Linked DNA regions of Styela clava. The protein of the gene in region 2 purifies or fractionates together with the protein of the main gene of each other region. This does not show direct contact. Links are inferred from orthologs where the notes say so. Each region holds a gene or a part of one and is shown on either strand. Other genes may lie near its edges.

Region 1 (10,140 bases), on a different chromosome or scaffold from region 2:
AGAGTTACGAAAATCACCTTATATAAACTTTCAAAACTAATCAACGAACGAAACTCAAAATGAAATCATTACAAATAAATTCAGATATGACTATGCAGCGCTCCAGAAGTGTATGTACCAATATGGAGGTAACTAATTTTGTTCACCTACTTCACATCAAGTTTTGTATAGGAACTGGAACCTATGGGCAGGGGGTATATTTACTTTACTTACTATATTTACAAAACTAAAATAAGGAAAATGGAAAAAAATTTATGGCCCAACCCTAACCTGGTACACATACTTTAGGAATAACGACTATGCTGACAATAAGTCAATTGACATAAAGATATATGCAATGGTGATTATAGATTAGTCCGATCCAAAATCTAAACTGATTCAGAATCATAAACTTCAACCTATTGTATGAATGAGTGGTTCTCAGGCAGCGATGCGAGCTCCACAAAAGGGGTCGTAGACATTTTAGTGAGGGGGCGTAAAGCTAATAAAAAATATTTGGTAGATTTGATACTACCCGCCTTATTTTGGATATTTACATTTCTTTTTTTGGATACTCCCATTCCTTCCACATATTTTTGAAGTGTTTTTCAAACAAAACATACTTTCGCCTTACTATCTGTTATGTTATTTGTAGGTGTAGTTATTTTTGAGGTGGCGCACGAGACTTGACAAATTTTAAAAAGTGGGCGTGGCTCAACAAGCTTGAGAACCACCTGTTTAAATATTTTCAACCTAAATTTTGGCTTCAAATACTCCTCACTGCAAATATATCGTTACCTCATTTGATCCATTATTAGTCTCGGGTTTTTCCTTCACTTCCATTTCCACATTTTCTTTATTTTCATCAGTCTCTTCAATTTTATTTTCATCATTTGGTTGTATAGTTTCTTCAGATTTTTCCTCATTCTCTGGTTGAATGAAGTCTTCTTGTTGTTCGACTTCAGTACTAGGAACAGGCTCTTTAGAAACGCTCTCAGAATTTTCCATTTTTTCTACATTGTCATCGCTTTTTTGTGGAATTTCTTCTTTTTTTCGTGCCTCTTCTGTTTTCTCTTGTTCATCAGTTTTGCTCTCGCTATCTTTCTGTAGTTGTGCTTCCGCCATTGGTTCTTGATCTTCATGTTTTTCACCTTCGTTAATTTGTTGCCCTTGTGATTTTTTCCCCTCTTCTTCATGAATTTGTTTCTCTCCAACATCCATTACGGTATTTTCTTTTTCCTTGTTCTGGTCGCTCGACTCTTCTTGCTTTTCTGCAAAATCCTGTTCCACAGATGCATTCTGTTCCATATGGTTTTCAATATTCTCTTCCTCTTGTACATTATCTTTGGTTGAAACTTTTTCATCTATCGGCTCTTCTTTCTTATTGTTGGTAGTAAGATCTTCTTCAACTTTGTTTGGGGTTCCTAGCTGTTCAGTTGTGGATTTTAAAGTTGCTTGCACCTGAATTCATTAGAGTATAATCTCAAAATTACTTTTGATAGCTAAACGATAGACGTTCATACTGATTATGTTCTAAGAATATATTCGCAATTTACTTCTGTGCTGGGTAACTTGAATTTATGTTTCACACTGCAAAATTGGAAATTGCCAATTTACTAGGAAAAGGCACTATAATAAAGTATTCAGGCTGCGAAATCGAAGAAAATTACAGCAGACTTTGATTCAAAATGTTACCTGTATCTTTATTGTATTTCTGGCAACTAGCATTTTTCCAGCTGGTTGAGCATGACCTGTGATGTCATCAGTTACAAGTGAGTGATATGACCAACCAGCTGTGAAGGTGAAGTGACCATGTGCACTGGGTAGTCTGGTGCACAGTTCAGTTGGTGTTGCTTATTAAGGATTACTTTGGTTATTGCTTTGGACATTTATTAAACATACATTTCAACCGCATTAACACCAAACTCAGGCTCATTTAAACACGATTCCAGCTTAAAAAGTCCTGGTTTAAATTCTGCTAAGTCAATGGCACCCACAAATTTTAACATTCAATATTTATTTCATTTTACCCGAATCGTCAAAATAACTTTCAGAAGTTATCTATTTCAAAAAAAAAATATGATACAGATATTATTAGGATAACTCACTGTTGTTGTTGATTCTCGTTCTACATGGCCGTGATCAGTTTCTTGCTGAATTTCTTCTTTATTATTTAAGCTCTGGTTACTTTCAGTGGTGAGTCTCCTTGATCTACGAGGGACAAGAGGAGACACGATTGAAGAACTTTTATGAGATGATGAATCATCTTCTGAATCTGCTTCTGATGTTGATGAAACTAAAAAAAAAGATTATTATATATTTTTTTCTTAACGATTATTCGCACTCCTCCAAGCAAGGGTCCGAAGAGGCAGCCACTGCCATATGATTGCGCCGTCGTATCGGCTTCCCTCACCCCGTGATAAAAATGATGTTGCTTGAAACTTTTTTTCATGAAAGTACAAGTGGGGAAAACATTCAAAACCAACAAGTAGACAAGGAGTCATAGAATACACTGCTTTCGATTCTTTTGCTTAAGATACAATAAAAACTATTCTCCTTCCAGAAATGGACACAGTGACCATAAAATACAATAGAAATATTCAAAACATACAACGACTGCTTTGCAGAAGTTTTCTTTGATTTTCCATATATTGCTTGATAAAGTCATTCTCCCCCGAATCGCCTGCAATCTGAAAAAAAATATTTGTCAGTCTCGAAAAGATAACTCATAAAGTTAACTCGACAGGATGACAAAAAAATTCAAGGATGATAGAAAGATCGTATTATAAAACAAGCAAATAATATTGAAGCAAAGGTACCGTCGTACCAGTAACTCAGAAGGCGTCCGAAGAAACGATTAAGATTCCAAGCAATTTCTAAAATGTGGGAAAGAGGCTTATTTTAGTAAAAGAGAAGAATTACACCATTTGTGCAAAGAAAAAGTCGAATCGTTGAAACTTTACTTAGTTTTTAAATAAGTTAAAATTCAAACTATCCAGAAGAAGAGTTGATTGAGAATACAAATACCTTATAATTTATGTTACAACAGGTATATTTTCATTTGGAAATTTCAGTTTTTTTAAAAATCTAGATATTCTCCTCTATTTTTTTTTTCCAAATAATATTCACACAAAGCGAGGTAAACATCTGAAATAAATGACTAGCAATGTAGGAAATTGATCAATTCCAAACTAAATAATTAGCTTTCACGAACCTCTGAACTTGGAAATGTAGCAGCACCAGGAGAACTTTGAGCAGCTTTCTTGAGATTTTCTAGCTCAATAGCCTGGCAAATAAAATGCAGGTCAAAATAATTTATCATACAAATTACAAACAAGAAAAAAACTTTGAATAAGGAAATAACGAAGCACAACCAGATAAAGCAATAATTCGAAACAGGCTATGGCAATGTCGAGGTATTACATTGCCAATGCATGATTACTAATAGTTTGATAACTAAGGCTGGGCATTTTCCAATACTTCAGAATATATATATTTCAAACAACCAAATTGGTTCATATTTCAGAATAAAAAGGAATATTTTCTTGAATCAAATCTCGATTACTTAGAAGATTTATAATTGTATATGGCTTTTTTGTTGTAACATTCCCTCGAAACAAAAGAAATACTGAAATATAGAATTCATTATTTAGTCAGTGAGCTCAGTTGTCAGAAACTTGTCACACACTTATTAAACATCAATACCTCAATAGGAAGAAATAGATCAAAATTGCATTTTAAAAATACGGTTTTGAGGGATTAACTCTGAGCTTTTGTAAATAAAAAAAATATGACGCTGATTAGAAGTTTTTAACTAAACCGATCAAAATAATTTACTAATTCTATTCCAAAAACCAAAAAAAAATTATGTTTCGTATAAATATGACTCTTTTTTTATCCATTTGTCTTTTGTTTATGAATATAATATTTTCTGAAATGACTCAAAATAGCAGTGACTTGAATTTAGATTAGAGCAGAGGTTCTCAAATGGTAGAGGGAGACATAAAATTTTTTTTTAAGGGGTAGTGAACCTGTTGTTAGATTTGATTTTGCCCGTCTATTTTGGATATTTACAATTTATTTATTGCTTAGAAATTGCTCAGAGCTGTTGTGACAAATTTTCTTTGTTTTCAAATCTTCATTATTTATGTTCCATCCACGTATTTTCAAACTGCTTTTTGTATAAAACATACTTTCGCCTTACTAGCCTATCTGCTACTTGTAGCTCTGTAGCTTATTTTTAGATAGTTATTTTTGAGGTGGGGCCCGAGACTTGACAAATTCTAAAAGGGGGGCACGGTTTAGAAAGTTTCAAAACCACTGGAGCTTTGAAATCTCCCTGTGCCAAAGATTGACGTCAGATGATAAACAGAGCTTCGGGAACATTAAACATTTTTGGCCTGCTGATTTTATGAGAGATATCATGAAAAATAAAATTTTAAATGAAGAGAACTAACTCACCGCATTGAGTCTCTTTATCAAAGTTGACTTATTCCCACCAGATGGTAGATTTTTTTCTTTACATGCCGCTTTCAATTCACTAACTTTTAATTCCTTTAATCTCTTCCCATTCAGAGTCACTTCTTCTTCTGACATTGTGATTCAGTCAGCACATACACACATATAATATGCCAATTTTCTATTTACTAAATACAAAACTCAGAAACAGATAGTCAAGTGTACTGAAAAATTATGATTTCATAGAAATAATGCTCGATAAAATTATAACCTATCGGTACCTTTATAACCTAAAACATTTTACTTTTCAGCAGTGTAAATGCGAATAAAAAATACAGTGATCACGAAATGTCAAATAAGATTTGAGGAAAACCTAATATTTTAAATCAAAAATTTCATCAAAATATCGCTGTATCGACGATTATATTGCAGTATTGAATGTGACGCTAATGCTGTAATGACGCAAATCTTCGTTGTAAGATACGTGCAACATCGTAAAGTAATATTTCGACTGTCTCAACGCAGAGAAAGTAACTTATGGTCTTCTATATTCCAAAGAGAGAGATTTTATTTTTTCGTCGACCAAAATAACCTGGTCCGCCGTGCAGATGTCAGGATGCGCAGATGCGAGTGAACAATTTTTGTGAGCATAAAATATTTGTCTGAATGTCTTGCTTGTAACATTAAAAAAGCTTGGCCAGCCATAGACTCGGGAGAAAAAAATTATTAAACGTTCAATTAATCAGACCAGATTCAATTGAGTCTAACATCAGAACATTCCACAAGAGGCCGTTCTCAGGTTTTAGTTATTAATCAGTACCGGTACCGTATCGGTATCGCTGTTCCGTACACGGTACCGGTACCTGTAATGTCTGAATGTGTTTTGGCGTGTTCGTGCAGTCGTGAGGGCAAAATGCGTGCTATGTCTGTATGTATACCGGTAAACGGTCACTTTGCACTTGTCACGGACTGACGGAATAAAATACCGGTATAGTAAGCTAGGTCATAGGTAGCCTACCTGTACGGTATCAATGAATTACTATAATTATTTGTTACCGTATTTGCTTCATTGAACTAAACCACGTTACCGCGAAGTTTACGTAGGTAACATTTTAGCAAACTGAGGATGCCTGGCCTAATTTCGTAACGAAATCGTAAAATCAAACTCATGCAGCGAATTCTCCAAGCCTAATTTCGTAACGAAATCGTAAAATCAAACTCATGCAGCGAATTCTCCAAGCCTAATTTCGTAACGAAATCGTAAAATCAAACTCATGCAGCGAATTCTCCAAGAACCAAAACCCCGCATTTTCCCGAAATCAGGTTTCAGCAGCCTTGTTTCAACGCTTAATCGTCGTGGCGGAGTCCGGAATCTTACATATTCAGAGAAACCGGTGAGCAAATAAACAAATGAAGAGCATACATGGGGTTTTCTAGTGCATACATGCGAATTTTCGTAGAAATGGGAAGATTTTGAAATCACACATTCGGTGTCCTTAGTCGATCTATTTTAAAAATAGAAGGCAGGGTTTTCTAGACTTTTATAAGTTCGCGACCCCTTCCAATATATTACAATTTTCCACATCATTGTGAAGTCGGCATTGTTATGCTTCTCCGATCTTACTATCAAAGTCACGGAAGTGTGCCGCTTTTCTGATCCTATTATATGTATTCTCTCGAAATCGTGAGATTAATGTTTTGGACTAGTTTTGATAATTATGTTTCTAATCAAAATTTTGAAAAATACAATAGATATAGCACTAGTGTAGCCTACTCTTTGTGATCCCCTAAATTCGTTGCGCGACCCCCAGTATGGAAAGATATGTCTCCTGAAACTCAAGAAAAAGACAGTATTAAAGTAAAAGACAGGCAAAGTTCAACTGAATACATTTCATATGTATAGTTTTTATCTGTATTAAAATTATATTTCTAATGATGTTAGGATAGATAGGAGTTACATATTTATCCCGGGGGAAAGGAAAGCCGATAAGACGGCTTAATCATATAGCGAACCACGGCCTCTCGTCCGAAATTTCATTCATACATTGTTAGGAAAGGATGGGATTTACATATTTATCACGGAGGAGAGAAAAACCGATAAGACAGCTTAATCATATAGCGAACCACGACCTTCCATCCGGTTACCAGTCTATTTCGGGTTTGGGGTTGGTTAGCCAGTTACTTGAGTCAGATACGGACTTGTTGGCGGAGAAAGCCATGGCCTACCAGCGGTTCCGTTATAGTGATTTGTTAACACTACAGATAAGTTGTTTGTTGACTGGATTATAATTGGGGGTTAATTGCTATAACGTGAACCACCCTACGGCGGCGAGAAGTCCAACAATCCTTTAGCACAGAGGTCACCAAACTTTTTTGGCCACGGGCCTGGTATGACTCAAACTGTGTTGAAACGGGCCGGATAAATATTTTTTGTCAAAGCAATAGGCCTACAATAAATTTCCATAAGTTGGGAAATTCCTTTAATTTATTCAACAATATAAATAATACATTTCTGAAGTCTCAAATATTGAACTCTTCTATATCGCAGAGTATAGATCTAGAACATCATAGCAAAACAATTATACAAGATTTCTAGACAACTATTCTGGGGTTAGCTGTTACCAAAACAATTGCTGTCATGAATATCCGCATGTTAGCAGTACAATAGTTAATGTGACTTGTACTATCAGCGCAAAAAGCTCGTTCGACGTTCATTTTAGCACGAGAAACGTACACAGCAACAGTTTCGCCGAAAGCGCGCGCCATTAGTGTATCTTTCGCAGAAAACGGTAGAGAATTTTAGCTTATTCTCTCACAGCTATTTCTAGACAATTTTTGATTGCTGCAATTAAACCGTAAATATATACTACTACGATTAAACAGCAACCTTGAAAGTTGCCGAACTCGAACAAATTCGTCGTCATGCTCATATTGTCACGGTGTGGATGTTTTACTGTGGTTGTTAAAATAAGAAGACCAAAGATTTTGTTTATTGAAAACAGAACATGGCTCTTTGAATTGCAAGAGTAGAAGAAGCATACACGAGTAAAAAGAAGTTAATCTTGAGCCTGACAAATGAAGATGAGAGAGAAATATATTTTTACTTGTCACTCGTGGGTGATGGGGTATGCCAAAGACGAGAACCTGAAATCGTTCTATAAAATGTCTAGGTCAGGGGTGTGCAACCTGCGGCCCGCGGGACAAATGCGCCCACAAGGAAAATATGTGCGGCCCGTTCCAATTTAAAAAAGTATACGGTCCACGAAACAAGTTTTTAATTTAGTTTAAAATGACACGTGCGAGAAGGCTAATTCTAATCCTTTACTCTGCATATTAAAAAACCGCTTTTCTCTTCGAATACTGGACCAATTGCTTTGAAATTTTCAGTGGTTGAAGATAAAATTTTTCCCGAGAAGGCTATTACTTTTAAATATTTCTGTTAGCTCTGTGAGATTTGTTTTTGTTTGCTATGACGTCATTAAACGTTCTGCCGACATCGGACGCCATTTTGTGTCCTACTGTACTGCTTCGCTTGGTGTGAATATATTTGTAGACTGTGATCTGACGGTACGGTAAACCGTACTGTACTGCGAACAGACGTGTCCATATATTTGGGCGTAGCTCTCTTGTTTCAATAGCTATGCCAAAATTTATCAGTATGGTTTAAGAAATTAATTTAGACCTCAAAATTTATTCACAACGATACTATACAAATGTAAAACTGGACACTATTCCAGATTATTTTTATACGAAACAAATGTTATATAAACACGATTTGATTGACATTGCACAATTTGTGTAGCTTTTCTGAAATCCAAAACTTCTTCTTATGTGGCAACCCAATAAATGTATGTTTGGAAAAGCATCATGTAGGGCAGGGGTAGGCTAACACGATATACCAAGGTACCAATGTCTCGCTATTGTATAAAAAAAGTGTATTTAAATGCACAGGTAGGATAGTACGACACAGACTTCAAACCTACATTTTTTTTGTTATGGTTCTAATTAACAACATTTTGACCAGCTGCCACATAAATACATGGACGAATGAAACAAAAAATACTTCACAGCAGGAGTCGGCAAACTGCGGCCCGCGATCTAATTTTTTGCGGCCCTCGAACGACTTGACTTTTGATGCAATAAAACAAAAATCGATTATAAATTTATTGTTGTCTCCACACGGATTTACGTGGTAACAAGTGCTGCTGTACGTTGCCTTTTTGTAGTAAGTAGCGTCAGTTGTATGTCGTCGATGTTGGTTATAATTATAAGTTATGTTTATTAAAATATAAAAATGTTCGGAAACGGAGGGAGTTCAAATATTCCAAGAATATTCGAAAGTGTTTGAACAGAAAAATGTTTTTCTTCCTTATGCATTTCAAAACCAGTTTGCTTGTCATGCCAAGTCAGCATCGCAGTTTTAAGGGCCACTGCTTTACAGAATATTGTTACCCGGAAATATTATCCTTAGCTCTACCATATCCAATTCACGTGACTGTGTCTCCACATAAGGAAATTCAATGTAAGTTAAAGGTTAATTTGCACCGATTTTATTCTAATGATCATTTTCAGGTGATTCGTGGACGGATCAAATTTCAGAAAACATTACTCATCACAAATTCAACGAATTTTGTGTGGTGGCAACGACAAAAACACGTCACGTTGATTAACTTCCTTTAGTTCAAATGGATGGAGGAAACGAGTGGAATCGCTTTACAACCGTGAACAAAAAAAACTGTCAGAAGTTGGGTCATTTTATGATTACTGGCTTGAAATGTTTGTATGATAAAACTGGAATCGCTAAATATTTATTGTTACGATGTTGCCTTGTTGTTGCTTCTTGTTTTTTAATCGATAACTAGATTTTCCAAGTGTAGAAGGTGTTGGGGTGGAAGGTACATCGACGAGCAGGTTTAGAAGTTCCAAACAAAGTAGAATTTGTTACGGATTTTCCACAAATCGCTTCAAAATACCAAAAGAAGTTCATTCACTGGATTGCAAAATCATTGTTGTTAATAATATTCAAGGTCGTCCAACGTTTTTAATTTCCATATTGTATTCCCGATTGCACTTTGCAAATGTATGTGATTGATGGTGGTACTGAATTTTCGGCGTGCGGAATCACACAAACAAACGTACGTTAACGTTTAGTAATGACCAAATGCATTGTGATAGGCAATTTTACACGGTTCGCAAAGAGATCAGATTGCGGGAAATATTATCCATCATCAGATTCAACGAATTACAATAAATTGATGTAGATGGGAAGGCCAATCCTAATGACATAAAACACGTTTTCTTTTTCATAGAGGATTCATTTAACTACGAGATCAACGATTACTGGCATAATCGATAGGCGCCAGGTGTGTTTATTCTTTATAAAAATGAACAGAAACGTTACTAATTTATTGCCAATGTGTTGCTTTGATGTTTGTTCTTGTGTTATTTGAATTAAATATAATTCTGTATTCTCAGTTACGACGAAGGGAACGATTGTCAACTCGATAAAAATGAAATAAGAAATAATTTTGTAATTTAACTTTGAAGTTCACGATACCACACGATTCGTGATACAGTTTGTAATCGTCTGAACGGAAGAAATTGTGAAATGATAAAAGCTTTTTAAATTTAAAACTATATGTCCTGCAAATGCTTATTCAAACTTTTAGCGACTTTTATCTGAATTATATAAATCATTTCGGT
Region 2 (10,262 bases):
TTTAGCATTAAGTCGCATACGTAAAATATCCTGTAAAAGAAGTGCTGTTCATTAACGCCATCTCGTCTTATGACCACGCAGAAATGCCTTTATTGCCGAATTATTCAATCACTATTTTAAATCAACATTCAGGATTGGCACAATTTCAGGTTTGCCAAGTTTATCACCATAGAAATACATGACAAAGTTAATTATCGTCTTAATAAATATCTGCATCACGGTATGGACAATAATATTACCATTCCCATAAAATTGGGACGGTAAATTTACAAATCTTGATAGGTAATATTAAAGCCAACGCAAATGTTAATTTGAGTCCTCAATGTCTTCAACAGCTGTTGCCGATGTGAACGAACGGGTAAACCCGATATATAAAACTTTGATGACCGCCGACCCACAAGAATTCATATTTGTAAAAAGGAGAGGGCGGGAATATAGATTACCCAAAACCTGGATATCGCCGCCAAAACCATCGGTGACAAGAACAATTAGCCATTACAACGGAATTAACCAGTAAAAAGGCTTTATTGCCGATTTTTTAATGTTTCCACCACGTTTATTCGGTACTCCTTAAAAATATTCGATTCAAAAAAATATTGAATTTTGCCCACCTGTCCTCGCATATCAATGAGGAATAGTTGTGTAAATATCGCAAAATTCCGGAAAATGCCACGTCCCTTCAACATTGTGATTACAATAAAATGGCACTTAATGGTATTTTGTGAATTTGGTGATTTTGCAAATCTGTGACATGCTGCTAAAAGTTTCGTCTGATTTGAAAATCGTGCAGTTTGGTCACAATTCATCCAAAGTGACTATAACACGTTACTAACACTTTTATAGTCATTTTGAATTCATCGATATCATTGATAGTCACATGACCTTCAAAGAAACGCACTGCCTAGTATTCCAACATCTGGTTTCAAACACCCGGGAGCGTTTTTTGCGGGAGAAGCGGAATCGGTGTGCTTGTATAATAATCATATTATAAACAAGAATTTTGCCGTTAATGCAAAAGCTTTATCTCCTTTGTCTGCATCTCATAGGTTAAAATTCCGATAAATATCGTTATGATATGCAGAATTGAGTTACAAAAGTACTAGTATGTTACTTATTTGTCAACTTAATACTCGAAAATATTTGAAAACTTTGAATTTTTATTCCATTCAAAATCGGAAAAAAGTGCTTTTTCTCTTCAAAATCGGAAAAAAGTGCTATTTCGCAGTCCCTAAAAAAAGTTGCGAAAGTGTTTCGCAATTTTCGCAAAAAAGTGCGCTAATAGTGAACACTGTATGAGAGACTTAACAAATTTGACTACGGTAATTCTACATAATTTCAATACAACATAATATTACCTTATGTAGAGAATCTTGTACGACAGTTGAAACAACACCTGGCAGATGAACAGAAGGTGTTTCTGAAGATCCTGGCAGTGGTTTGTAGTCACTTGGTCGTCGAATTTTCAATGATTGACCCATGAAATTTATACCATCAAAAGCAAGAGCCTTAAATAGAAACAATACTCCAGCTTGATATCTACTTGGCAATAAGTATTAATAGCTGATGGTAAGTTTTGCATCACACTATCTGGTGATATAGAACCAGGGATGTCCAAAACGAATCAAATATCGAATACAATATCTCAACCGTAACAAACAACACAGAGAAAACAATGTCTTTTATATTTATGTTGTTTTAGATATTTCATGTAATTTTTCACATGCACTTGCCCCAATGTAGAATGTAAACAATACTTCAAATTCGAAAACGTTTTCTCATAATGTATTTAAAATAGAAAAATATTCGGCTTTGGCCATCCTTGTAGCCTATAGAATAAAGTCTGGTATACTGTTGTGGTGTAATATTACATTTTTTTTCAACATATAAAGCAGTTAAGCAAATAGAAATGGCAGCGAGTTGAGAAATGGTACACAATATCGCATTCAGACATATTATAGCAATTGGACTTCTGTCCTGTTTATTTATCTAGCGGTGAATTATATCAAATCTCTTTCTAAAAATCTTTATATCTACTTATATATATACTTATATCTGTTTATATATCTAACAGTAATAATATATCAAGATTTGAAAAATTTCTGTATTTACCTGTGTAGTTTCATCCACAGATCTGAACTCTAGGAAAGCAAAATTTTTGTCAAGGTTTATCTGAACAGCTAATACAGGGTTTCCGGGCGCTTGTGCAAGACCAGACATTTTCATTTGTTGATTGAAAAAATCCATCATGGCATCCTCTGTCACCCCAAAAGGTATGTTACCAACATATAATCTCCGAGCTTGGAACAAGTAGAAAGGCTGAAAAACAGTAAAACAATACATCCGTGTATAAATTGCTTCACTATAAATCCATTCAATTCATGAAACAGGTAAAATTACCCACACAAACCTGACGAGTCATCTGTGTCCCCGGTAGAGGTGCCGCTGGACCAGTAGGTGTCCCAGTGCCAAGACTTGGAGTTGTAGCCATAAGAGGGATCTGTCCAGCTGCTTGCATGGCCTTGTATTGAAGTGGGGTGAGGTGTTCAAACCCAGATGGTGCCACGTCCCAATATTTGTATTGTTTCTTTTTCTTTGTAGCTGTAGTTGGTTTTTCCTTGCTTCGAGATCGACTGCGTCGCTTTCTATTCTCTCTTGACCTCGATCGCCTGTTGGGTTAAAAAAAATTTGGGGTCGCTGCAATTTAGAAAACAAGAATAATAAATCTTTGTAATATAATAAATATGCCTACAATAGCCATGGACCGAAAAGCCAAATCACTTGGCACAAAATAAACTGCATTATTAGGAACTTGAAATTCTATTAGAATATAATCAATCAGAAAATTATATTATTTTAAATATAAAAAAAAAATCCATTCTATAAAAATATTTTATAATAAAATCTTACTTACTTTGATACTTACTCCATATCTGATAATAAAAAAGTCAATAAACTACATGAATTTAAAAAAATTACTAAATATTATTTATCATACAGATAAAACTTGAATTTAATCCAATCACGAATCATATTTATATATCAATATGACCTGCAGAGTTGGTTATTATGCTTATGATCTGAGATTGTTGAAAGACATTTGGAAATGAATTCAAATTCAGCCATCCTCGCATACACAGTACCTTCGACGTTTTTCTCTGCTTTTGCTTCTTCTTTTCCTATCTCTATCACGATCCCGATCTCTGCTGCGTCTCCGGTCATGATCTCTATCACGTGACCTGTCTCTCCTCTTACGATCACGCCTGTCTTCATTGCCACCTTGTGGTTTTATATCTTCTCCATATCCTTGATTATTTCCAGGTGGATAACCACCATTTTCATATGAATCAGGACCAGCCTCTTGCTGAAAATAATGTAAATAATTTTATCAAAAACCTTTTTTGAATGTTTGATTAGGTCTTGTCTCATTCTACCGAAATTAGAAATCAATCAAGCATGCCTGATCAGATGAAAGAATTGCGACACACTATTGCTTCTCATTTTTGGCTCCCTAAAGAAAAACTATGGTTGTACCAGTTGGTAAAAGCAAAGGAATATTTTCAGCAATATCAAACACTGAAACTTGAATTATTATACAAATGTATGGATAAAATGTAATTTACATGATTTATAAGCTTAAGAATTGATATTTTAATAACTGAATAATTATTTCATGTATTGTTTAACGTTAAGTTACCACTTCATTGATCATCATGCATTCATGTGTACAGTACGGTACCGTATGCTTGTATGACGTGGAGGCAAAATTGCAGTACCGTATTTTCACTATAACAATTATATTATGCATAATTATTTCAATTCAGATACTCAAACAAATTAACGTACGTTATGGAATTAAAATATAATTGCCAGCCTAGAGCAGTCAGGCAGCAGAGAACAAACCGGAATACCGGTACGGTATACTACCTTCATAAAGGCCTGTTGGTTCTGGTCCATATTGTACTTCCTGAACCTCCAATTTCGACAATACAATTAAAAATCAGGTACGAAAAATTTAAATTCACTGAGGTTTCTAATGTATCACGAATTATTCACCCACAGACGGCTGACGAGCAGTACAGAACAATTGCAGACGCAAATATGTCAGACTCGAGGAAAGGAACTACAAGTCACGTGATTATTCCTCATCACTAGAGGCGATAGTGACACATAGACTATATGAAAATGGATACTTACTTATAGGCCGCGAGCCGAGGCAGTTTATCTTTCAGTTTCGTAGCGCACAAAAGTGAACTACCTGAAAATGATTTTAAAATGTTCCTTAAAAATTTGCTAACAAATAATGACTTGTTCCCATTTCCAAAAGTTGCACGCTTTACGGAAAAGACGCTTTAGCTTTTACTACAAGAAATATGCGCTATGATCTGTCCTATATTCTCTGCTTTTCCGGTATCATGGACCAATGAACGCAGACTTCTGTATGATGTAACAATTAAATTGGTCAGCTGTAGGTGGATCCCCCATGGTCGGATGGATATCACTTTCAATACGGTAGTTTTTTCAGTTAATATTACTTGATTTCTTCTAAGAAAGTGTTAAGAAGGATGATAAGTGAGCTATTAAAATAAAACAATTTTTTTTTTGACTTTTTTCGATAACAAGAAATCTTTCCTACCCGTTTTAAGGTATTATAATGTATGTTTAGCAGTTTTTTTTTAAATAAAAACGTGTTATTTATACATGAATGAATATCGGTTATTACATTTTTATATTTGAAAATCTCTAATTTATTATTTTGTTTTTGATAAATGAAAATAAAAAACACCCCCCCCCCTCCAAAAAAAAATAGGCCCTAGTGGTATTTATCGAAAAAACATTGAAATAAGACACCGTTCTTTTTTCCGGGAAAACACGGTAGTACAATGGTTCCCAACCTTTTTACCCGCCGGCGATAAAATTAAATTAAATGTACTCGCGGACCGGCAAGAAATTGAAATGACCGGAACAGAAAAGAATAACATATATTTGCATAATATATTGCAATGTCAGGCGCTCAATATGCTTCTAGCCAAAAAGGCACACTTAAAAACTTTCACACGAAGAAAAACTATCAAATAATGTGCCGGCCAAAAATTGAAATGAGTGAAACATAAAATAATACTATGTATTTGCGTAATGAAATGCAGTGCTGAGCACCCATTATGAATAAGAAAGGCAAGCATAAAACATCTCACATAAAAAACATGTACATACCAAATCATGTGCAAACGCAATTAACTGAGAATTTTGCTGCTGTTTGCTCCGTTTCCAATATAGGATAGCAAACGAGGCCTCAAAGAAGTTTTCGCAACACGTAGCTCTGAGATCCCCAAAACAGCGCTCTTACTCCATAGTGACACCTTGTGTCCCATCACTAATTAATTAATAACTTGCTAATTATACAATGTAATTCATCCAAAACCAATAGGCTTCTGGTTCGACATATGATGAATGCACAATCTGGAGCAGATTCAATATTGCTTTAGTGAGATATTGCATGCATCTAACAGACAGACAGACAGACAGACAGACAGACAAATACCTATCAACTTACTTACCGATTAAAATCGATAAGTAACAACGAAATTTCTCGCGGACCGGCAAAAAAGCTTCGCGGACCGACACCGGTCCGCGGACAGCCGGTTGGGAACCACTGACTTAGTATGTGCTGTGTGTGAAATATGTAAACAACATATTGAAACCTTATTACCTTTATTACTTATCGATTTTAATCGGTAAGTATGTTGATAGGTATTTGTCTGTCTGTCTGTCTGTCTGTCTGTCTGTCTGTCTGTCTGTCTGTCTGTCTGTCTGTCTGTCTGTCTGTCTGTCTGTCTGTCTGTCTGTCTGTCTGTCTGTTAGATGCACGCGATATCTCACGAGTTACCACATTTTTGTGATCTCGAAGCGGGACCCCCCAAAGACCATATCTGTGATTTTTGCTCCTTTAAATTTTACATTGGGGGCCTATATTTAAAACCATTCCAACCGTCTTCATTGACCATATTGTAATCGAAAGTTCATGCGCTGTCTGTCTAATTATCGGTTTCAGTTCGAAAAATAGAAATAAATTTACGTTAACGTTAAGCCCCCTTTTGGCGTACGATGCTTACACGTAACAAAATGTAGCAATTATCCGTAATGTAACAAAACAACGGAACAAACAAAACCACGCACGCATCTTCAGTAAGAAGGCTAACGGTACGCTACACAGCAACAACAGTGTCAATAACATTATAATTTGTATTGTTCGTGTTTTATGCTGACTGGTTGAACGCCAAAGCGGGACATTTGGCTGACCTGTCGGGATACCGGGACAAGACGTTGAAAAGTGGGACTGTCCCGCCTAAAGCGGGACGTATGGTAAGCCTAGTTATGCATAGAGTTATCTGGAATGATGTTGTTATGTATTGCTATGATGTATTGTTTGTTGATTGATATTGTTTATTACAATATTGTTTTATTTTATTGCAATATTGTATTATTTTATGAAAATCCAATAAAAAAGAAAAATATTTTTTTGAAAAAAACGGTGAAATAAGTAAATGTTATGGCAGTTGGTACAATGTATGCATATTGAATCCGGATATGGCCTCGTTCTTTTGGTTTCATATCAAACGCAAAGTTGTCATTGTGAAGTCACCGTTAACATCTTGCTGATTAGATAATGTTGCGAAAGTAGTCAAGTAAGTCGATTCTCGTAGAAACACCTGTACTTCAGTATACAGACAAAACGCCAGATTTAGCCTTTAGATTTAGTCTCATTCGAAATCCTAAATTGTCAGTATATCAAATTTAACCTGCGTATATTATGACCTCATCGCAGTAGTAGTGAACATTTATTATTATTAATACAAATATTTTTCTAGTTTCATGGTATATATGAATGGAATTAAAATTTCACCATGCGATTCTGTAATCTGAATACCATCGTTTGCAAGCAGTTCCCCGAATCCCCACGTTGACCAATGATAGTTGGACCCACAAATGATGCGATGAAGAAACTGGACAGAATGGCGAGAGCAAACAAAAAATCGATTGTGCAAAATTGAGAACGCGGTGGTGAGTAGAATAATTTATCATTGATTAGTGTAATAAATATACTGTAGTTATTGTTGCTGAGGACTGTTCAAAACAAGTCGCAAAGTCTCCATAAAATTAAAAAAAAAATCGAATTTATGAAAACATTTCAAGATAGGAATGTCGTAACATAGCGGTAATCTTTGCATTAAATTGATGATCCCGAATTGCGCAAAAACATATTTGAAAAACCTGTAACTTCGAACAACATAAACCTCTCCGCTTATATAGGAACTGGCAGCAAACTTACATCTTAGTTAGTTCAGTGTTAGGACTAGAGGCAACGTCAAACATCCCCCCTCCTCTTTTATTTTTAATTCGCAGAAGAAAAAAAACTATGGTTTCCCAAACGTCGAATTATTTTTCTGTTACTCTTGGTGAACTGCGCCGCATTCGGGCTTGCGAAAAAACAATTGGGCTTAACTCCAGGTTCGTTTTTGGATGACCCTTGGTTCTTGTTATCAATTCCAACAATCAAAGTGATTGGCGCAGGTCTGACTTTCTGAAGCTCAATCTCAACTACAATGATATTGTTTTGGGAACTAGGTCGTTTGCCAAATCCAACGTCATCATATTCATTGTTTTTACTTTCATTAGCATCTTCATATAAAAATGTGCCCTTAAAAACACACACAAATTTAATACGATTTTCTGCTAAGATTCTACACTCCCTTACATTTACAATTCTTTTTCTAGATCGCTGAAAAGACAAATAGGAAATCTGAATCAATCTAAAAGACTTCTCTACTATGATGAACCATGATTCACCAGCCTAACGCGAACACCGGAGACCGCAAGCAGTAGGTAATAATACAGCGGAACTTTGGATGAAATATCAGATCTCGTCGGATTCATATAAAAATTTAGGAATAAATAATAGTAATAGCCATCGAACGAATAATATAATCTTTAACCACTGAAAATTTCAAAGCAATTGGTTCAGTATAGTTAACGATTTTTTCATACGGTAACAACAAGAAGAAGCGGTAACAACAACATAATAACAAAATGATCCACGATCAATTTTGATTGCAAAAATTTATATTCTAATTGTGAGTCAGACAATGAAAACTATATATAGCGAAGCAGCTTCTTATACATTTTATATAATTAGGTTTTCTGGTTTTACTGACACAACATCAGAACTCAACTTGACGAAAATAACCGAGTTTTGGACAATTCGCATCATCAAATCAAACTTCGTTTGGCTACTCGGTTACAGAACACTTGAACATTAGTCCAATTAATTTAGATTGAGAAACGACAAACTGGACAATGACAGAACAATACTTTAATAATATCTGCTGTGGTGTATGGAATTGCGCAACAGATCGCTCCAGAACATTATTAAAACAACATAGGCTACGTACATTTACATTTCGAGTACCCTACTTGGATACCTGTCGCTCCGCATCGACACAGTGAAAAAAAAATTCCGCGTAAAATACCGAATCAATCAAAAGATGAAGATATTCCGTCAACTTCTAGTGCGACAGAAGTTTTTGTATCAAGTATATCTAATGTTTTTGTTACTTTTCTGGATTTGCGTCTGGCATGACAACACCAAGTGTTAGGAGTAACGATACCACAATTGTTACAACCGTTCCTAGACCCGTTAATCCGGCGTCCTTGGCTGGTGTTGTTTATCCTAATAGTCAACAACCAAATATATGTTATGGAAATATTCCGTATCAAATGTATTGTCAGAATTATTATTCTTATTTTCATAGTAACTTCTTATGGTTTCTGCGCAAAACCCATTTTACTAGGGGTTCCAACAGCCCACCCTAACATCAATTTATCCAACAAATTTCTGTACAATTTGTACCGGGTTATATAGAGGGACCTAGTCCTGATATTCCACAGGAAATTTACGATAGAGCTCATTCAGCATCAAAAATGCGTAAGCGTAGTATCAAAGTTTTCATGATGGTGATGACCTGAACAATTTCGCAATTTGATTCAAATCAAGTACGTCCCATACCAGAGCTAAAGATAACCACGCAAAGGTAATTTGATTATATAGCTTTATTGATGCAAAGATTATTGGCCATTTGAAAATTTATTTCGCTCCAAGATAGATATAATTCTGATGTTATATTCAATATATTGCAATACTTGATACAGTTTTTCTGTGTGGCTGGTGAAAGAAACCCCGATAAGAAATTTAGAGATCGTTTACAGCTAGTGGGTGAGTGTTAAATACTTATGCCCGAGATTTCGATTGTTAGACTTACTTGGCCTATGAACAATCACCAGCTACAAAACGTTTAATATGTCAGCAATTTTTGAATGAATTTAGAAACCCCAGGGCTCAGGAATTTCTAAATGGCTGAACCTATAGCTAAGCATTTACGAGCGTATGTTAATAAGTGTTCAACTGATCGAGCAGTTGAGACCGACAAATATACAGCTGTTTGCGTGGATCCAAATTGACCACAAATCTCACATGTTAATGCGATGAGCTCAGAGTTAAGATATAGCGGTAGTTGTAATGGCGATCCCAGACATCAAAATTATTGCAGAAAACAAAATGAACTCCGTGGTGGTCGCGGCCCTTGTAACCGTGGACGTGGCCGAAGTACCTTATCTGGCGCATAAAAACCCTGTTATTCTGGTGGTTGAAGTTACTATGGGAAGTCTAACCATACAGACGAGATACGTTTTGCTTTGCAGAAAGCTCTGGGTAAATATCGTAATATCAAGCAGGTAGACGATAGACAGTCTAAATCCGATGTTAACTCTGTGTTAAACACGGAGGGGTTGGTGAACAAGGCCAGTCACCAACCCGAGAAATAGATTAGAATGTAGAGCTTGAATCAAATAGGCTAAACAGCCTGTAAATGAAAAAATATCGACTAACTAACTAAAATGAGCTATATGAAGAATATGCTAAAAAAAGTCTCTAACACCCTTTCCAATGTTTATACCGAATGCGGGAAAATTTGTACACTTATACCGACATTTTGATCGGAGATAATTTGTATGCAAACATTATTATAGACTGTGGTGCTGGTGCCTCTTTCATTTCATCCTCCCTGTGGAAAAAAAGCTAGCAGAAGTCACGACATAGAATCTGTTAATCGGAGGTTTGAATGTTATAGAGGAGAACCTATTTATATTTCGGGTAGACCTAAAATACGTGTTTTTTGTAGCAGAAGACATTAAAGTTAATGTCGATAAGA
Region 3 (10,383 bases), on a different chromosome or scaffold from region 2:
GCCTTACCTCAACTACCTACCACCTGCGTTACCTACGAAATTAGTTGGTTGACTGTTACAGGACCCGATTATATAATCTCACAGCATTTCATGCAGGGAATAGACATCTTTTCAATCCAGAACTTACCCGATTTATATAATAAGTTTATCTTACTTCAAACTTAATCCACACATAACTACTAAGCACTTACTACTGTTGTCTGCTCACCACCAGACATAAATTGATATATAAGTTTTAGTTTTAATAAAAGTATTTTTAATGAGGTGTATTAATACCTCCACTCCAAAGGAGCTCTGAAATATCAGTCAAGGATATTATTCCACAAGGGACTTTACCTGATATTTTGACATATCGTAGCTCTTACCATAAAATAGTTACTATGACCTTGTAAAATGGTAAAGCAATCTTCAGGAAGTTGTTGCAAATTTAAAGACTAGGTGCAAATCCAAGGAATTAGAACAAATTTTGATAAGATAAAAACATCAGGTTTTAATTCAAAAGTGATCCTTTATATTGGCTATTGTGGTTCTTTCCAGGACTAGCTTTTGACACATCAGCAAGACATCAAACTTACCAAAGAGTTGAGCTAAATTTTATGACCCAGTGTACTTGCTTTTATCAATTTACCAAATTTAACTGCAAGATTTTTGTCATAAAGACCAAATAGGGTGAGATCTTTTGTATACAAACCCTTCTTACCAATCCAGCGAATAGTAAGGCGGTGAGTATACAAACCTAATACTGAATCATTTCAATTTTCATAACTTTGTAATGACGAGACATTCTGAAGTTACACAATGTGTGTTCATCACATTCACATTTTCAATGGCGCCTTTTTATGCAGCACATTGTTAAGCTGCGGAAAACGAGACAAACAATCGTTTAGTAAACTGTCACTATTTTATTTATAGTCATTAAGTAAAAAAACGACACTGGTATCGATAAATTTGGAGCGCCCCCCAAAACGAAATCTTGTGGTTCTACCTACCTTCCTGACCTTACATACAACAATAAACCGAAATTTGATAGAAATAATTTAAAGCAATAATTGTAGATGGCCAGTTTTCGATAGGAAAAAGATGTAAACACACCTACCACCAAAATGGTTTTGCAAGCTTGCATGTTATAATACAAGAAAGATCGCGCCTCTGTAGTATGTTGTTCTGATTGTCAATTGAGTTGATTTAAAATTATGATCCATTAAAAAAGAAGGCACAGTATTCATGTATTACAACCTGCAGTCTTGATTTGAAAATATTAACAACTGATTTTAACACTCACTGTGCATGTCCCTCTCATGTTCAAACTCAATAAAAGCATAACCCCGAGGTTTCCCATTCGAATCTTTAACCATAGATATCTAAAATGAAAAACAGAAATATTGAAAAAAAATCAAAAAAATTACTTCTGGCAAAAGGGATAAATTAACGAAAGAAAAAAGTTTGAATAAACAAATTGAATTTGGTCAAAAGTTTTATTTTCAGCTTTTTAATCATCGGCTTCAAATGACTTATTAACAAAGATTGAACAATATAGCAATATTAGCATACCACTTTTACATTTATCCCAAGGGGGAGCAAAGTCGATGGGACAGCCTAACTAAGTAGCGAACCGTGGCCTCTTGTCCAGTTACTAGTCGATGTTGAATATGGAAATGGTTAACCAGTTATTTGTTTCAGATGCATGATTCTGATGTCAAAGGAAGCCAATAACTGACCAGGGTAATCAGGGGCCCTACTAAAAAGGTAGGTATCACAGGTATCAGTCACTAAAAAGGTAGGTATCAACTAGTAGTAGATGAATTAAAAAGTGAAAAGGTAGGTAGGTTTACAGGGAGGGTATCAGTAACCCTGACCCCACCTTTTTGGTCATTTACTACTGCTATCTACATTTTTAGTCACTGATACCTGTGATACCTATCTTTTTAGTAGCGTCCGTAATCAGAGGTGTGAGGAAGTATATTTCTAGCACTTAGCATAATGCAGCAATTGCCATATATATATCCCCCTATGACTCTATGTGCAAGCAAGAAAGTACACTCGCTAACTAAGATACTAAAAAGCAAAAATTGCAAATTAACTCCGTGACAGAAGCGAAAAATTTACGCTTCTATCAGATTTAATTCAATGCAGAAATTGAATTTGCAACAAAAATCCAATTTTTGGAATATAAAACTCATAAATTACTTTACCTTACGTATGGGGCCATACATATCAAACTCTCTTCTCAGCTTCGACTCAGAGGTATCATAATTCTGAAATAAAGGAAACAATATCGAGTTAAAATTGAAGACTAGAACATTGAAAAAAGGCTACAAATTGAGACTTACTACGCGTGACACAAATAATGTTTTGAAGGCATCTCCTGTTGCACTTTTATTATTGTGGGGATCGTAATTTTTAACTTCTTCTTCAATTTCTTTTGCACGTAGTATTGCTTTCTCTTTTATCTGTTTGAAATGAAAAAAATGGTAGAAAAGATGTTGAATGTTATTAATATGGATACTTTGCACTTCGCAATCAGGTACTGATTGAATCAATCCAGTAACGCATTTTGAGTCGTATCTTTCCAACATGAGTCATGTATATGTAGGGATAAAAATGCTTATAAACCTTAGTATAGAGCAGGGGTGGCCAACACGTAGACAGCGATCGACCAGTTGATCACCACGACTCGAGTAGTCAATCGCGTCTGATGTTGAGTGAATTTGATAACATACCCCAAAAAATTGTCTTGAATTAATTTCATGCAGCGCCAGTTGTGTGTTTAAAAACTGAAAGAATACAGTACTGTACATACGCAAAATACGATATACATATACAGTATTTGAGTCTGGGCAAGCCCGAGAGCATATTATTAAGCAACAAATGGAAGTTTCGCCATGCCATGGTTAAAAAAAGAAGGGCTGAATATTGAGTAAAGCTCGACCGATATCACTTTTTGGCACCGATAACGATATATCGGCCAACTGGTGACCGATAACCGATATGGACATACCGATATCTACAACCTGAACCCGCAGTAAATACAAATAGAAAGAAACATTCCGTTTCAGTCAATTAAAAGTATATGTTGAAAAATAAAGCAGTCCTACACAGTGCTTGCATCATTAATAAAAGTTTCACAGCAAATAAGACCACACATTAATGCACAACAGAGAAAAGGCAGTCAGTAAAAAGCTTATAGAAGTCCATTTTGATCCATACAGTAGTAGGTGGGAGTAGGCTTGCACGTCATTTACGGAATTGTTTCGAGTTACGGAAGGGAAGTTACAAATTACGTAAAGTCGTAATTATTGGTCGAGCGCTTTCGCGTTTGAAACGTGCTCCTTACAAGCAGTCAATTCCGTCGATTGTAAAAAATGAAAGTTTGGCGCGGCGGTGTGGCTCAACGGACTAAGCATTAGGAATACGCTCGCCACCGCACCCCTAACTACTCTGCGTGGGTTCGCAGGTTCGAATCCCATGCAGGGATGGTTATGTGCGAGAGGATTGCTGCCATTGAGTGTCTTGACTGAAACACGATCCTACAATACATTCTACAATCCTATTCTGCAGTATTCGAAAGTTATTGTATAACTACGAGAGAAGTGATAAATTTCATTAGCAATAATAGCAGTGGCATCAGAATACCCATTTTTTCCAATTCCAAGCGAGCGAAGAATCGCACTCAGAGGAAATTATAAAGTAGATACTGAAGTTCGAGCAGTCATATAACATCCAACATTATATCTGGATTATGTGATTTGAATAAACCCCAAATGATGAAACATTTACCTCGGGTACAATTAGATTATCAAATTAACAATTTTAATAATGGAACATGAAAAAAAAACTTTTGTGACGATTTCATTAGGATTGCGCCTACAAATCCAAGCTTATTAGCAGTGGGGAAATTTTTGTATGCTGTGTGTAGTTATCTGCATATTCAGCACCCATTCGTTTGTGTATGACCCTTTTTCCGATTAGTCAATCGTGAGCTATTTTGAAGATTCTAGTCGATCACGGTCGAAAGCAGGTTTGTCACCCCTGATATAGAGCAGTATATTGGTCGTGATAATTGAGTTAAACATAAAATTAAGACTATGAAAATGCTTGATTGCCAAACTTTCAAAACATCCGCTGAATGCTACAATCTTTAAATATCAAAGTACCCTTCTGGCTTTCTTCTCTGCTTTTGTCTCTCCCCTGGTTGGTGGAGGTGTGTCTTTGGGATCTTCAAATAGTGAGGTATATTGTGAAACACCACAGTATGGATTCTTTTCGCGATCTTTCTCCCATGATAGCTATAAAACAATGTGAAACATAAAATATATGTTAACCTCATACTTTTATAAAAATACTATAAAGGGTCCAGCATTACATGAGACATATTTTGAAGAACTAACAACAATTATAATATGAATAAATATATCAAAATTATGAAGTCAAATTCCTAGATTATCTGATTATAGAATCATTTTACAGTTTTATATGGTATATTTATAATCATTTCTCACTTACCTGAGCAGTTGGAGGTTTGTACGGAACTGGGTCTCGAGCAGCAAATAGAGCTAGCAAGTTGGGAGGCAGAAATTGTGTCATTATTCTTGTATAAATTCAAAATAATATTATTTAGTATTTTTATTATTTCAATTTTGAATTTGTACGATCATGCAGTCATGCATGCATAATATAAAGTCTATTACCGGTACCGTACCGGTACAGTAGGAAAAGCACATCATAAATACATGAAATAGGCTATAATGAAAAACGGATACCGGTACCGTACAGAACGATACAAAATTTAGATTGAATGCCGAAATAAATTGTATTGAACTGTACGGTAACTTTTGAATATCAGAATACTGGAATAGACTGAAAATAGAATTTTCCTAGGTCTACTAATAGACTAACGTTACTGGCTTTATAAACGTTATTACATAAAAACTTGGTGGCTCTGACAATAAAGAGACCATATCTGATATATAATCTACAACGCAAATGCAATACCGGTACCAAGCATGGCCTGACAAAAACGAGTGCGGGCTAGCGTCACACGAGTGTGTGGCTGGCGTTCTGACAGTGTTATACGGTAATTTGAGGCATCCTAAACGCTCACAGATTACTAAATTACCCATATCCACATTTTAATCAGCACCAGAACCTTCCAGAGTCTGCCAATTGATGGCACAAAATGGCCACAATTGCCGGGAAAATGAATCAAAATCAACTGAACAATAATATCTCTAATCAAAGTTGCCAGATATGACGGTAAGCAAGCCTGAAATTTTCCGTCAGACCTAAAAATTAGGAAAATTGAAATCTAAGCTAAGTGCTTGATCTTTTTATGAATAAAATGTAGTTATGAATAAACCATACCTGATTTGCACAAATACATCTTGTAAAATAAAAAAAATGATGATGATAAAAACATTACACCAGCAGATACACATTGTCTCGATGGCTTTTGATGTCGAAATTCGACAGTTCATCAAAAAGGATTCAACGAGTTGTTTATCACGGAATTAAATTATCATATTATACAGTATATGATCTTACAAATTTCAAAAAATTCTATCGTAGAGAAAGACTTTAAATTTAAAGTCAAAATTAGCACACTCGACCGATATCAATATTTCGCGGTAATGGTGTTTCAAGTCAAATTTCAAATATAAATTGAAATTGATCCTAAAGTTTGTTCCTCAAAAAATAAATAATCATATTACATGGTACTTTTTTAAAAATTATCAAAAAATAAAAAAAATTCTACCGTCGGGAACGATTTTAAAATAAAACCCGAAATTGGATCTCTCGAATGATATCAATATTTCCCGACAACGGTGTTTTATGTCGAAATCCAACACCTAATTGAAAATATTCTAACAATTTGTTCACCATAAAATTAATATATTATAATTTATAGTAAATTATCTTACGAATATCAAAAAAAAAAAATTCTACCGCAGGGAAAAACTTTAAAATGAAACCGGAATCTACCCATGTCTAATGATATAACATCTAATGATATACATATTTCCACGACAACGGTTGTTTGTGTCGAAATACAACATTCTATTGGAAATATTCTAATGATTTGTTCACCATAAAATTAATATATCATAATATATAGTAAATTATCTTACAAATACCAAAATATAAAAAAAAATTCTACCGTAGGGAAAAACTTCAAAATAAAACCGGAATGTACCTATGTCCAACGATATCCATATTTCCCGACAGCAATGTTTTATGTCGAAATGCAACACTTAATTGAAAATATTATAAGAATTTGTTCACCATAAAATCGATGCATTATAATATATAGTAATTTACCTTACAAATATCAAAAAAAAATAAAATTCTACCGTAGGGAAAGACTTTAAAATAAAACCGGAATCTACCTATGTCCAACGATATCCATATTTCCCGACAACGGTGTTTTGTGTTGAAATACAACACTCAATTGGAAATATTTTGTTTTATTCTACATAAACTTGGGAATCTCTGTTCTCAGCTATGAACTTTATTTAGTCTCGTAACAGAAGTAGCCTAAAACATGAAACCGGTATGTCATGTATGTTTTTGAAAGTTACAAAATTTAAACCCAATGTCCAATCTCTATCAGCGTTAATGTAGCAGTAGAAGTCTCATATACTGATATATATAGAATAAGAAAAGTAATCACATATATTCGTCGGACTGATTTTTTTCGAATAGTGAATCTGCCTGTGCATGTTTAAGCAAAGCATTGTTTTTAATTTTTGTCGGCACGCAAAAAAATTTCTAAAAATATTTAGCCGATTTTATCACGCAAGCCGAAAAAGGTACCCACCCCTGTGTTATACCTTGCACAAAATTCACTCCCCCTACGAGGTTCTGGTTCAACCTGGCAGAACTTTGGGGTTTGACGAAATTCCCTGAGTAATAAAAAGGATTCTCTGATGGCTCGAAAAGGTTACGAATCACTGATTTGAAAGTTGGTTCAATATGGGCTTCCAAAACTTTTGCAGTTCGATGCAAGCCCAGCGCTTCTATGATTTTATGCAATGTTTAGTGGAATTTATACGTTTCATTAGTTTTAATAGTTGTGTTTTGAATCAAAAGTATAAAATTTACATTAGATATTCCGGTAGTACTCTGTGTGTAAAATTCGAGTATTCTGTGCAACCCCAAAACTTGCTGCGTCTCACCTGCGGTGTCGCAACTCCAGTTTGGGCTAGCTCTGCGCTAAATCGAGTCTTTATCAATTGTTACCATCGGTCTGAAAAATTAAACAGGATTTTCACATGTAACTCAATTGTATGGCTATGTATGTTATGTCTCCAACATTTGGTTTGGATGGAGAAATTAGTGTAAATTGGGCATTCAAACTGTCACAACAAGTAATATTAAGCAAATACCAAATGTCATCTGCATTGTTTATGTTTTGTGATCACGTGTCACAAGCGTGATCCGCTCGCAGCGATCCAGGGTTGTTAGATACTGAAATAACGGGACTAATTAAAAACTTTTAATTACAAAGGACTAATTAGCGTTTTCGTCCACTCTTCGCGCGGGAAGCACAAGCGACAACGCCTCAGTAGCAAAGTTACATGATGAAGCGCGGTCGATTTTGTGTGTGGTTGGTGCTGGAATATTACTCCTTATCAGTTTGTCTCTTTGGAACAATATTCAGGTAAGCTAAATATAAACAAGCGTTTGTAAAGCTGTTATATGGTTTCCCTAAAACTCTATATTTTTTTATTTATTTGGTTAATGTTGTTGCTTACTATCTTAATTTTTGTACATATTGCTTTTCACAAACATGATTTCTAAATCTTTCTGGTTGAAATTACAATTTCCTATAATTTTCAATATGAACTAAAAATCTAAACATACCTGAGACTTATTCTAAATTGACGAGTTAGCGAAAGATACGAAGTTAATGGAATAGCTCTGCTGTTTCATTCATCAGATATTCGATATTTTCTCAGGAGTCCTCGCATATTATATATATCCTAGAATTCAGTGATTCTCGCACTTTTTTAGGCCGCGCCCGATATAAGTCACTACGTAAGCTGCATTTCACATGGCACGCTTTACATCAATGAAATATAGATAACTTTCGAAACCTCAAATTTAACTCCAAATTCATAGATTGATAAATACTTGGCTTTTTTACTTTTATATTTTAGTTATTGTGGTTAGACGTATTCCCATTCCCGCATTAGAAAGTTCTGCAACAGTGTATTATTAATATCTTAACTTTTCAGATGCAGAATTGTTGTTGATGTTGAAATTGAAGATGCTAAGACACGATGTAACGAAACCGAGGGAAAATCTACAGGTAATATTTATACATTTTATTTGACTTTTCGACATCCATGGATTCATGTAATCAATATGGTAATGCCACATACTTAACAGAAGTAATAAGTCATATACAAGATGAGATGCAACACAATGTACCGACAGATCATTCCAAATAAGTAATATTTCATAAATTTAGGGGAAATCTCTGAATTATTTGAAAGGATTTATCTACGCAAAAGTTTTAAAATGCGCTCCTTGATGGTTGAATCACAATTTCGAAAGGCTGTTGTTGAATTGAAATACTTGTACGTTATTATTTTGGGTGAAAATACGACGATCATGTCACATACATTTATTTTCAGCTTTCAGTTGACAAGGCAGTATACTACGTCATCAATAAGAGAAATTCGTCTGAGTGAGATAGAAGCCTATCGAGTCTGACCAGCAAAGCAAGTATGTAATCGGAATCTTTTAATTTTAATCGTATAATTAGGTTCAATCTAAGGATCGTTGGAGGTTGAACAAATCCCCCGGTCAAAAACAAAACACTCACACAAACCCTCAAAATAAGGAAATTATTAACTACTGGCTTGAGGTTTGGGCCGAAAATGAAGATTGCGCTGGAAATTCAAATTTTAAAATCGTTTCTGACCCTAACTAGTTACTGATTTGTTATTTTCAAACTTGGCGGAGGTGTTTTTATCAAATCTCACATTTTGGGGTACTCCTGAAGTACACGTACCATGGAGGACACCGGAACGCAGTATGTGTACCAGGTTAGGGTTAGACTATGATGTTAATGCAATTTTCCTTATTTTAGTTCTTTTGGGAGTTCGGGGACTAGCCATGTGACTCCCGTAGTATTTGTACCTAAAATTATGGCCTAACCCTAACCTGGTACACATACTATGTTATGGTGTCCGACATCTTGGTACGCATACTTCAGGAGCGCCTATTTTTGCATTATTGTTGAGTGCTTTTTACAAAATATTCCAATCTAATATGCTAAAATAGCGCTGTTCGACCTTTTACTACATGTTACACCTTGTTCAATTTTTTATTTTCATCGTATATACTTCGCAAATAACCAAGATTATTTAATAAAATAGCGCAGAAAAGTTGTTTGGTGAAGTTATGATAGAAGTCTTACGCTGGTCACAAAATATTATATGTGCTAAATAAAAAAGGGAAATATTGGCTTTGATTTGTAACTATAGCTTTTACTCGGAAATTTCGAGACGTGGACAGACAAATACTTCATAAATTATTGAGCCCGATGTTGAACGGGACCTGCGCGCGTTCAAAAACTCAAAACGGGCCGGGAAATTTGATTGTTTGAATCAGGCTATAGCTCTAGTGTATCATCGTATGCCAATTGCTATTTGTATAGCCGGGATCTATCTTGGTATACTCCTGCTTATTTATGGTATATCCGGTTGAATATAACTGCACTGAAAAATTTACTCCAAGTTGGTAATTTTTTTGGAAATCTTCGACAAATTATCTTTTTTGTATATATATTTAGTATAAGCTTATCTTATAGCAGAAAAATTGCATTTCTTCGTTCTCCTTTTCGCTAGTTTGATCCCCAATGCACGCTCATAATTATTTAAGGCCAAATCTGTTAGAACCAGACCATTTATTTCGTCGAGTCGCACCTTGGAGTTGACTATTTTGTCCCACATACGCGTAATCTAGCGTTAAAAGGGTGGAAACAACCATTCTAAACAACCCATTAACTGGAGCAATAATCCCTGAATACTACGTAAAGAGCACGACACTGTCTATAACGGTGTTTTTTAACTGGGTTTGATTAAACCAAACCTGAAGGTCCTCGGAAATAATTTCACGAAATATTTCCTTTATCCAGCTTTTATGCAAACATCCACGTTTAACCGTTTAACCACGTTTAACTTACCGACCGTAATTTTGAATTCGTGATAAGGCAGAAATTATTTATTTTAACAATTCAGGATTAAAACTTTTCACTCTTTTTGCACCGCAATCCTAAGTCTCCAATGGTAGGAGCTATAGCTGCCATACAATAGATACGCTACTGATAATTTGAGAAGAAACTAAAAATAAATTTATTTCCAGTTTCCCCCAACA

The links. The genes of interacting proteins can lie anywhere in the genome.
Region 1: the proteins of splicing factor U2AF 50 kDa subunit-like (region 2) and uncharacterized protein LOC120335474 purify together in Homo sapiens (affinity purification with mass spectrometry; 3 studies listed by BioGRID and IntAct, counting the BioPlex papers as one, with this or other methods). This does not show direct contact. The link is inferred for Styela clava from reciprocal best matches to the Homo sapiens genes U2AF2 and ACIN1.
Region 3: the proteins of splicing factor U2AF 50 kDa subunit-like (region 2) and uncharacterized protein LOC120328439 purify together in Homo sapiens (affinity purification with mass spectrometry; 4 studies listed by BioGRID, with this or other methods). This does not show direct contact. The link is inferred for Styela clava from reciprocal best matches to the Homo sapiens genes U2AF2 and SNRNP70.

What each region holds. Positions count from the first base shown.
Region 1 is NC_135251.1:12,561,351-12,571,490, reverse strand, and holds the start of uncharacterized protein LOC120335474, read right to left. Parts: upstream 4,671-10,140; 5' UTR 4,576-4,670; coding exon 4,441-4,575; intron 3,266-4,440; coding exon 3,194-3,265; intron 2,670-3,193; coding exon 2,591-2,669; intron 2,276-2,590; coding exon 2,088-2,275; intron 1,441-2,087; coding exon 778-1,440; intron 1-777.
Region 2 is NC_135261.1:11,541,642-11,551,903, reverse strand, and holds the start of splicing factor U2AF 50 kDa subunit-like, read right to left. Parts: upstream 4,107-10,262; 5' UTR 3,955-4,106; coding exon 3,925-3,954; intron 3,362-3,924; coding exon 3,141-3,361; intron 2,667-3,140; coding exon 2,402-2,666; intron 2,317-2,401; coding exon 2,110-2,316; intron 1,506-2,109; coding exon 1,356-1,505; intron 1-1,355. UniProt on the Homo sapiens protein: Plays a role in pre-mRNA splicing and 3'-end processing. By recruiting PRPF19 and the PRP19C/Prp19 complex/NTC/Nineteen complex to the RNA polymerase II C-terminal domain (CTD), and thereby pre-mRNA, may couple transcription to splicing.
Region 3 is NC_135256.1:9,927,591-9,937,973, forward strand, and holds the start of uncharacterized protein LOC120328439, read right to left. Parts: upstream 4,671-10,383; 5' UTR 4,585-4,670; coding exon 4,504-4,584; intron 4,287-4,503; coding exon 4,155-4,286; intron 2,451-4,154; coding exon 2,331-2,450; intron 2,256-2,330; coding exon 2,193-2,255; intron 1,362-2,192; coding exon 1,283-1,361; intron 1-1,282. UniProt on the Homo sapiens protein: Component of the spliceosomal U1 snRNP, which is essential for recognition of the pre-mRNA 5' splice-site and the subsequent assembly of the spliceosome. SNRNP70 binds to the loop I region of U1-snRNA.